Linked DNA regions of Macaca fascicularis. The main gene of each other region encodes a partner of the protein of the gene in region 2 in a complex. Links are inferred from orthologs where the notes say so. Each region holds a gene or a part of one and is shown on either strand. Other genes may lie near its edges. The genes, in order: FARSA and FARSB.

Evidence for each region.
Region 1: the proteins of FARSB (region 2) and FARSA are in contact, whole or in part, in a crystal structure (PDB 3L4G), measured with the Homo sapiens proteins. The link is inferred for Macaca fascicularis from reciprocal best matches to the Homo sapiens genes FARSB and FARSA. Residues at the interface, in NP_005678.3 of Homo sapiens: Glu26, Phe29, Gly32, Leu33, Pro68, Ala69, Asn70, Ile150, Arg152, Asp259, Thr261, Lys262, Arg305, Lys316, Lys317, Val318, Gly319, Ile359, His360, Cys362, Asp363, Glu366, Ala369, Ile370, Tyr374, Asn375, Ile377, Gln378, Met379, Thr380; in NP_004452.1 of Homo sapiens: Ser221, Gly222, His223, Leu224, His225, Leu227, Leu228, Arg231, Ser232, Arg235, Leu239, Gly242, Phe243, Thr244, Glu245, Pro247, Asp249, Asn250, Phe251, Ile252, Glu253, Ser254, Phe263, Gln266, Gln267, Phe277, Phe278, Leu279, Arg280, Asp281.

What each region holds. Positions count from the first base shown.
Region 1 is NC_088393.1:13,328,122-13,332,592, forward strand, and holds the start of FARSA (phenylalanine--tRNA ligase alpha subunit), read right to left. Parts: upstream 3,025-4,471; 5' UTR 3,010-3,024; coding exon 2,863-3,009; intron 1-2,862.
Region 2 is NC_088386.1:118,591,001-118,595,395, reverse strand, and holds the start of FARSB (phenylalanine--tRNA ligase beta subunit), read left to right. Parts: upstream 1-1,406; 5' UTR 1,407-1,425; coding exon 1,426-1,483; intron 1,484-4,395.

The DNA.
Region 1 (4,471 bases), on a different chromosome or scaffold from region 2:
CCTGGCGGAGGACAAATTCTTACTGTCAGTTTTGAACCTGTGACAGATTTTAAGGTGAAAAATTAGGTGAACTGATTCACCTTCACATTTTTTTCTTTGTTTTTGTTTTCACTGAGAGGGGGCCTAACCCTGTTACTAGGCTGGGGTACAGTTGTGTGATCATAGCTCACTATAGCCTTGAACTCTTGGACTCAAGTGATCCTTCCGCCTCAGCCTCCTGAGTAGCTGGGACTACAGGCACGTGCCACCACACCTGGTTAATTTTTAAATTACCCTTCTTTTTTTTTTTTTTTTTTTTGAGATGGAGTCTCACTTTGTCGCCCAGGCTGGAATGCAGTGATGCGATCTCGGCTCACTGCAAACTCAGCCTCCCAGGTTCAAACAGTTATCTGCCTCAGCCTCCCAAGTAGCTGGGATTGCAGGTGTGTGCCACCATGCTCTGCTAATTTTTGTATTTTCAGTAGAGATGGGGTTTTGCCATGTTGGCCAGGCTGATCTCAAATTCCTGACCTCGTAATCGGCCAGCTTGGCCTCCCAAAGTGTTGGGATTACAGGCGTGAGCCATTGCACCCAGCCCTTTAAATTACTTTTTTTTTTTTTTTGAGACGGAGTCTTGCTCTGTCGCCCAGGCTGGAGTGCAGTGGCTGGATCTCAGCTCACTGCAAGCTCCGCCTCTCGGGTTCACGCCATTCTCCTGCCTCAGCCTCCCGAGTAGCTGGGACTACAGGCGCCCACCACCTCGCCCAGCTAGTTTTTTGTATTTTTTAGTAGAGACGGGGTTTCACCGTGTTAGCCAGGATGGTCTCGATCTTCTGACCTCGTGATCCGCCCATCTCGGCCTCCCAAAGTGCTGGGATTACAGGCTTGAGCCACCGCGCCCGGCCCCTTTAAATTACTTTTTAAAGACAGGGTGTTGTTATGTTGTCCAGGCTGGTCTCAAACTCCTAGTCGCAAGTGATTCTCCTTTCTCAGCCTCCCAAAGTGCTGGCATTACGGGCATGAGCCACCACGCTCAACCTGTCTCCATGTTTAAATGTTCACATGTCAGTGCCCAGAATGTCAGACAAGGGCCCTGGAGGTACACATTACAAACAAAAACTGAGGTTCCAGGTCCAGAGTCACGAAGAAAAGGACAAAAAGGATAAATAGAGTGCACAGGACCTGGCTCCCACTTCGTTCTAATCCTACCTCTGCCCTTCATTTCCTGTGTGACCTCGGGAAAGTTGCTTAACCTCTGAGCAACTCTTCTCATCCATAAGAGAAAGGTGTGATGGGTTCTACCTCAGATGATTTTAAGGAGTAGCTAAATTAATACTCAGAAAAAATATATAGTGCCTACCATGTGACAACTGCTGCATAAATTTTTTTTTTTTTTGAGATGGAGTCTCGCTCTGTCGCCCAGGCTGGAGTGCAGTTGTGCAATCTTGGCTCACTGCAACCTCCACCTCCCAGGTTCAAACAATTATCTGCCTCAGCCTCCCAAGTAGCTGGGATTACAGGCGCCCACCACCACGCCTGGCTAAATTTTTTGTATTTTTAGCAGAGACGGTGTTTCACCATCTTGGCCAGGCTGGTCTTGAACTCCTGAACTCATGATCCACCCGCCTCGGCCTCCCAAAGTGCTGGGATTACAGGCGTCAGCCACTGCACCCGGCATAAATTCTAACTACTATAATTATTTTTATGGCTATTACTGTCATTAGATTTAACCTTACCTCCTTATATTATTTAACTCTCTGTGACGTATACAAATGTCAAATCATATTGATCAAAGCACTGTCACCCAACAGAACACAGCTGCCTCTGCATTGAGGACTATGGGCTCTGCAGCCTGAGTGCCTAATTTCAAATCTGGGTTCATCGGCCTCTTCTATTCACACTGATTATGTTACTGACCATCGGTTGTCACATCTGCAAAATGGGAATAACATGGCCATCAGCCAGGATTATGGAATGAATTGGACAAACAAGCTGAGACCAAAGTGGGGCGCAGAACGTGAGCTCTAAGGATAAACAGCCCAGATCCTGGCCTCATGGATCTAGCCTTCTGGGTGGCCCACGGGCCCCTCAGCATCCTCCTCCTGTGACTCTGTCACTGTCTACTTGCCCAAGTCAGAAGGCTGGACTTCATCGGTGTGCCCCCTGCCTTGTCCTGAATCCCATGCCTTCCCCACCTCCCCCAAGCTGCCTTCCCATAGCCAGACATCATGCCATCCAGCTTGGGGAAGTGCCAGCTTCTGCTTTCATCCCTTCACCTCCTGTCCTGTCCCTGCCAGTTATTCCCAAAGGTGATGTGGATAGCACACTCATCTGACCGGGCTCTAGCTCCTGCTATCGCTCCCCAGTTCCCTCGTGAGGTAAAGACCTAAGAGGCCTTGCAATTACAGCTATGCTGGTCTCCCTCGCCGCCTGCCATCCCCGAATATCCCGGCCACTGATCTCTAAAGTGGTATCACTTTCCTCTACAGAGAACCGACTCAGCCGTCACCTGCACCAGGCCGCTCTCCCTGACCCCCAAGCCTGGGTCAGCTGTCACAGCTGGGTCCCCTGTGTTCCCCCCATCACTCTAGTTCTTGAAGCACCTTCCTATAAGGTCGCAACCTGCGTGAGGGCAGCAACCGCGTCCTCCTCGTCCATTATCGTTCCCCCTACCCACGCTGACCGCGCCTCAATAAACGTTTATTGCATGAGGAACATCTGGGCCCTCACTCGTCCCACTTCCCGTCCGCGCATCCCGGGGTGGACACATATACAGCTACCCCAAACTAGGCCTGAGGGAATTTGGTCTGGACGTAGAGCCCTCCTGGCAAGGGGACCGTAGGTGCAAGGGCAAGGCGGCCCGGCATCACGGGCCCGGCTCACCTCGCCCAGTGCCTGAAGGCTCTTCACGGCGCCCACCACCGCTTGGTGCTCCATGCCCAGCTCAGCCGCCAGCTCGGCGCTGTCCAGGCCGCCATCGGACGCCTCCAGCCGCCGGAGCAGCAGTTCCGCCACCGGACCATCCGCCATGGCTGCTTCCAGTGTGCTCAGCGTGTCCTGGCCGGGGCCTGAGCCACCGGAACCGGAATCCGGGCTGTGCATCGCCATCTTGAATGTGTCTAACCGCAGAGCAGGGCTCAATGTGTCGTCATCTTGAGTGTGGCGACGGAGCCTCAGAAGGTGCACGGCACTCAGTTCCCACCTCCACCCTGGCTCCATCAGTGGCGTCTGGTTGACCAGAGAGGAAAATCGATTATCTCAAGGTCAGAAGCACCGCCCTGTTTTGAGCTTTATCTAGCCTCACTTCGAGCGGGCTGTGTGACCTTGGACTTAACCCTCTCTGGGTTACAGAAATGTCTGCCCTTCTGGTATTCTCTCTTGCCCTACGAGAGGCGGTGGGTGGTGGGCTCCAGAGATGGTCATTTTGGCGATGTCAGCTACTTTTAAAATTTCAAAGGAAGGCTGGGTAGGTACCATCCCTTTTTATAGAGGGGAAAAGGATTCATCTAGTAAGTCAAGGTGGCACCTAACCTGTGTGGACTACCTCCTATGTGGTAGTACTTAGCCCAGAACTAAGTACTTCACGTGTAGAATTTCATTTCTCCCCAAAACTTTATGATGTAGATACTGATATAACCGCATTACACAGATGAGAAAACTGAGGCTCAGAAGGTGGTATGACTTGCCCAAGGTTCTACAGAGAGTTGGTGGAAATTAAGCCATAAATTATAAACCTTCCAGATCCCCCACCCCTGTGCACTGAGAGCAACGTCGGTGCAAATACTGCATGGCCTAGATTAGCACTGTCCTATAGAAATATAGTGCAAAACATCTTTCTGGTTTTTTTTGGGTTTTTTGTTTTGTTTTGTTTTGAGACGGAGTCTCCCTCTGTCGCCTGGGCTGGAGTGCAGTGGCCGGATCTCAGCTCACTGCAAGCTCCGCCTCCCGGGTTCACGCCATTCTCCTGCCTCAGCCTCCCGAGTAGCTGGGACTACAGGCGCCCGCCACCTCGCCCGGCTAGTTTTTTGTATTTTTTTAGTAGAGACGGGGTTTCACCGTGTTAGCCAGGATGGTCTCGATCTCCTGACCTCGTGATCCGCCCGTCTCGGCCTCCCAAAGTGCTGGGATTACAGGCTTGAGCCACCGTGCCCGGCCAACATCTTTCTTTTTTGAGACAGGGTCTTGCTCTGTCACCTATGCTGGAGTGCAGTGGCGCAATTATGGCTTACTGCAGCTTTGACTTCCCAGGCTCTAATGATCCTCCAACCTTAGGCTCCTGAGTAGCTGGAACTACAGGTGCGTGTCACTACACCCAGCTTTTTCTTTTTTGTCTTTTTTTTTTTTTTTTTTTGTAAAGATGGGTTTTTGCCATGTTGTCCAGGCTGGTCTCAAACTCCTAGGCTCAGGTTATCCTCCTGCGTCGGTCTCCCAAAGTGCTGGCATTACAGGCATGACCCACCGTGCCCAGCCAGCCAGACCCTGACTCTTAAGA
Region 2 (4,395 bases):
ATTAGTAGTTAGAGTGTCCTACATCTGGCTCAGCTTTTGTCTCCTCATGTGAAGGACCTTGGAAGAAGCCCTCACTCACTGTACAGTAGAAAGGATTAGGGCAAGTCTCCCCCTGGAAATGCCAGGTTGTGCCTTAGTTTCATTACTGGTAAAACAGGGATAATGGTACCTACCTTGATATATTAGTTTCCCTTGGCTGCTGAAACAAATTACCACAAACTTGCTGACTTAAACCAAAAATTTATGCTCTCATAGTTCTGGAGGCCAGAAACCCAAAATCAGTTTCACTGGGCCCAAACCAGCATGTATTACACGGCTGCCCCATAGGCTGGGCGTGAATCTGTCCTTGTCTCTGTTTATTTCAGGGGTACATGTGCAGGATGTGAAGGTTTGTTACATAGGTAAACGTATGCCATGGTGGTTTGCTGCACAGATCATCCCATCACCTAAGTATTAAGCCCAGCATCTATTAGCTATTTTTGATGCTCCCCACTCCTCCACCCCCTCACTCCCAGAGTGTGCTTGTCTCTTTGTTTCTGGTGGCTGCTGGCATCCTTGGGTTGTGGCTGCCACTGTGGCTACATCGTCTCTCTCTACCTCCCTTTTATGTTTTTATGAGGATACTGTGATTCCATTCAGGGTCCGTCTTTAGAATCCAGGATAATAATCTTTATCTCAAAATCCTTAATCTGCAAAGGCGCTGTTTCTATATAAAGTTACATTTAGAGGTTGCAGGGATTAGGGTCTGATACTACTGGGGGCCGTTATTCAGCCTACTACACTCAGGGTCGTTTTAAGGAGGAAGGCTGAGCACAGCCCACTGACAGCAGAGAGCACTGAGCAAATAGACTAAAAAGGAGGTCTCTTACAAAGACTCCCTTATAGGGCTGCCGTAAAGTTCAAAAGAAACACAGGTATATCACTTATACGAGTATAGGAGAGATTAAAGAATGAAGTAAAAACTGAGGTCTGTTAACAGCCCCTCTTCCGCCGCCAGGAGTTGCACACCTTTCTCTGCAGGAAGCCTTGAACCGTCTCCTCTCGCCTTTCCACCACCTCCAGGCAAGATTTCCCACGTGGAGGCCCCGCCCCCTCCCTGACGCGCCCCTCTCTCCGCCCTGCCTTTAGCGCGCTGGAAGCATCCGGGACTTCAGGGACAGTACGTTACAATGCCTGACAAATCCTAGCCAGTGCTATCAAATTATATGTCTCTTACAGGTTTTTAAGCTATTAGTCCCATAAAGATACATTTAGCCAGCGAGGTAATGGCAAGATGAGTGTTTTTAGGTTAAAATAAGAACTGGAACTGTTGGCAGCAGAATGGCGATATTCAAGACAGCTCGCACAAGAAGAGGCGGGTCCTACGCGCCTCGCTAGGGAATCCCGGGTCAGCTCGCCGCGCAGGCGCAGTGAGTTCGACTCGCCATGCCGACTGTCAGCGTGAAGCGTGATCTGCTCTTCCAAGCCCTGGGCCGTACCTACAGTGAGTGCCGGCCCTATACATTGGGCCCTACGCCTCTTCTTGGAGGCTGGGCCTCCCTCCTAAAGGGCATTGTGGTGACATTCATGTCTTCCTGAAGGTTTTGGCCCCGGGAGGCCGGGGTTTATACTGGAGGGCCGATGATGGTGGCGGTCCGACTGGGCTGTGGTAGCCTCGGAACCGGCATCGCAGGGGTGCCACTGCTCGTGCCCGGCTCGCCGTGTCATTCATTCAGCGATCTGCCATCGAGTGCCTACAGCGTGCCTGGCACCGACATCCAAGCCAGGGGATAGAACAGGAAGGAAACCCGGGGTTGTATCCCGAGCGTAGCCAGTTCATTGCAATAAGAGCGCTGTGGGAACTCAGTTTATAAAGGGGTAGGAGGAGAGAGTTGTGCAGCGGGATGGAGAAAGGCATTCCATCTGTCTTCGTCTTATTAATGTTTCCTGAGCGCCTGTTATGTGTCAGGCACTGTTCGAAGAGCTTAGGACTAGGGCTGTGCACATGACACGTCAGGTCCACGTTCTGTCTGATGGAGGCAGACAATTAACCAGCACATTAATAAAATGATTTCGGATAATGTTAAATGCCATCAAGGAAAGAAGAGGTGTTGTGCCAAGAACAACTTTAGATAGGGTGGTAACATTTGATCTGAGACCTGGATGAGGAGTATTCAGTGGGCGTAGACTTCATTCTACATTTCATCTTTTATTCAGTTCTAAAAACACAACCATTGCAAAAAGGAGGGAGATATTAAGTGCAGTTATCAGTTACCTCACAGCCGTAGCAGGTGCCCCACCCTTTTTGTTTTTTTTTGAGAAGGAGTTTCGGTCTGTCGCCCAGGCTGGAGTGCAGTGGCACTATCTCGGCTGACTGCAACCTCCGCCACCCGGTTCAAGCAATTCTCTGCCTCAGCTTCCCGAGTAGCTGGGATTACAGGCGCCTGCCATCACGCCCGGCTGATTTTTTTTTTGTATTTTTAGAGAGACCGGGTTTCACCATCTTGGCCAGGCTGGTCTTGAACTCCTGACCTCGTGATCCGCCAGCCGCGGCCTCCCAAAATGCTGAGATTACAGGCGTGAGCCACCGCACGCGGCCCCCACCCCATAATTTTTAGCTTGTATAAAGACTGTACCAACTGGTTTGTGAGAGCTGTTTTTTTCTTTTTAGCGCTCAGTGTGATAACAAAGGCCTAACTGGTTTAATGACAGCCACCGCTTTCCAAAATAAGATATTACTGCTACTGTGAAAATAAAACTGGCTTTTAAAAATCTTTCCTAAGCGTGTACTTTTAGATAGTACCTATTCTCAATGTGATATTCTTCGTAAGTTCTGCCATAAGTCCCTGAAAGTAAAGGAAATACAAGGGTATTGTATTACTCTTACCCTTTGTACTTGTCTCTAATCGCCTAATCGCTTTATTTTATAATGAGCTTATTTATATTTCTTACCTGACCTTCTAAACCATATTCTCACTAATGGGATGTGGTACAGGTTGCTAATTCCTGATCCAAAATGCTTGAGACCAGAAGCGTCTTGGATTTTGGATTTGGGGATATTTGCATGTACATAATGAGATATTTTGGGGGTGGGACCCAAGTCTAAACATGAAATTGATTTATATTTCATATGCACCTTATATGCATAGCCTGAAGTTAATTTTATGGAATACTTTAAATACTTTTTTTTGCATGAAACAAGGTTTTGACTGTGTTTTTGACAAGTCACATGGAGTCAGGTGTGGAATTTTCCACTTGTGGCATCCTGTCTACACTTTAAGGTTTTGGGTTTTGGAGCATGTCAGATTTCAGATTTTTGAATTAGGAATGCTCTATCTGTATACCTGAATTGCCTAAGATGGTAGGTGGCAAATATTTGTTCAAAACATCTACAATCCGTTCCCATCCCAGTCTCCATTTCTAGGGAGGTAAGAAATAATCCAGATTTTTAAAAATGGTGAGATTTATAACCTATTTACTGTCATCTGATGTTTCAACATATTCTGTCCCCTTCCCTTTTTTTTTTTCATATTGTCAGTGATCAATTAAGATTGATTTTTTTCACAAATATGTGTTTGTTAGGTACTGAATCTTTTAAGGGCCAGGTTCATGGCTGATGCTTGTAATCACAGCACTTTGGGAGGACGAGGTGGGCAGACTGCTTGAGCTCAGGAGTTGGAGACCAGACTGGGCAACATGGCAAAACCCTGTCTCTACAAAAAGTAGCTGGGTGTGGTGGTGTGTACCTGTAGTCCCAGCTACTCGGGAGCCTGTGGCCGGAGGATCACTTGAACCAAGTAGGTCAAGGCTGTTGTGAGTGGTGATAAAGCCACTGCATTCCAGCCCCGGCCACAAAGTGAGACCCTGTCTCAGAAAAAAAAAAAAAAAAATTGGTCAAGAGAATTGATGTTATTTTTGAGATGTACTTTCGAGAGGTCAGAAATGATACTCCTCATTAGTTTACGTTTATTGTGTTCTTTCTTGAAACTGTTAACTGGGTTGAGGTCAGAACTGGAAAAGCATGTTCAGCAAAGCATGTGGTTTCCAAGTAGTATGGATACATCTTGTTTCTTACCTTTTTTTTTTTCCCCAGTCTTCCTCTTTTTTTCTTGTTTTTCACACTTTTAAAATCCACGTTCTCTCTCTTTAGTCCCTCCAAGGGTTGCTTTCTATTTGAAATTTCATTGTTTCTACCAGTCCCCACCTTCCTTTTTACCTCCTCTTTGCTTAGCAAGGATATTTCTCTTTCAAGCTGTTTGCCATTTTGGTTGTTTTGCTGATCTGACTCCTTTGGAGCAGGTTTGTCTCCTTAGTCTACCTTTTCTTTTTTTTTTTTTTTTTTGAGACGGAGTCTCACTCTGTCCCCCTTGCTGGAGTGCAGTGGCCAGATCTCAGCTCACTGCAAGCTCCGCCTCC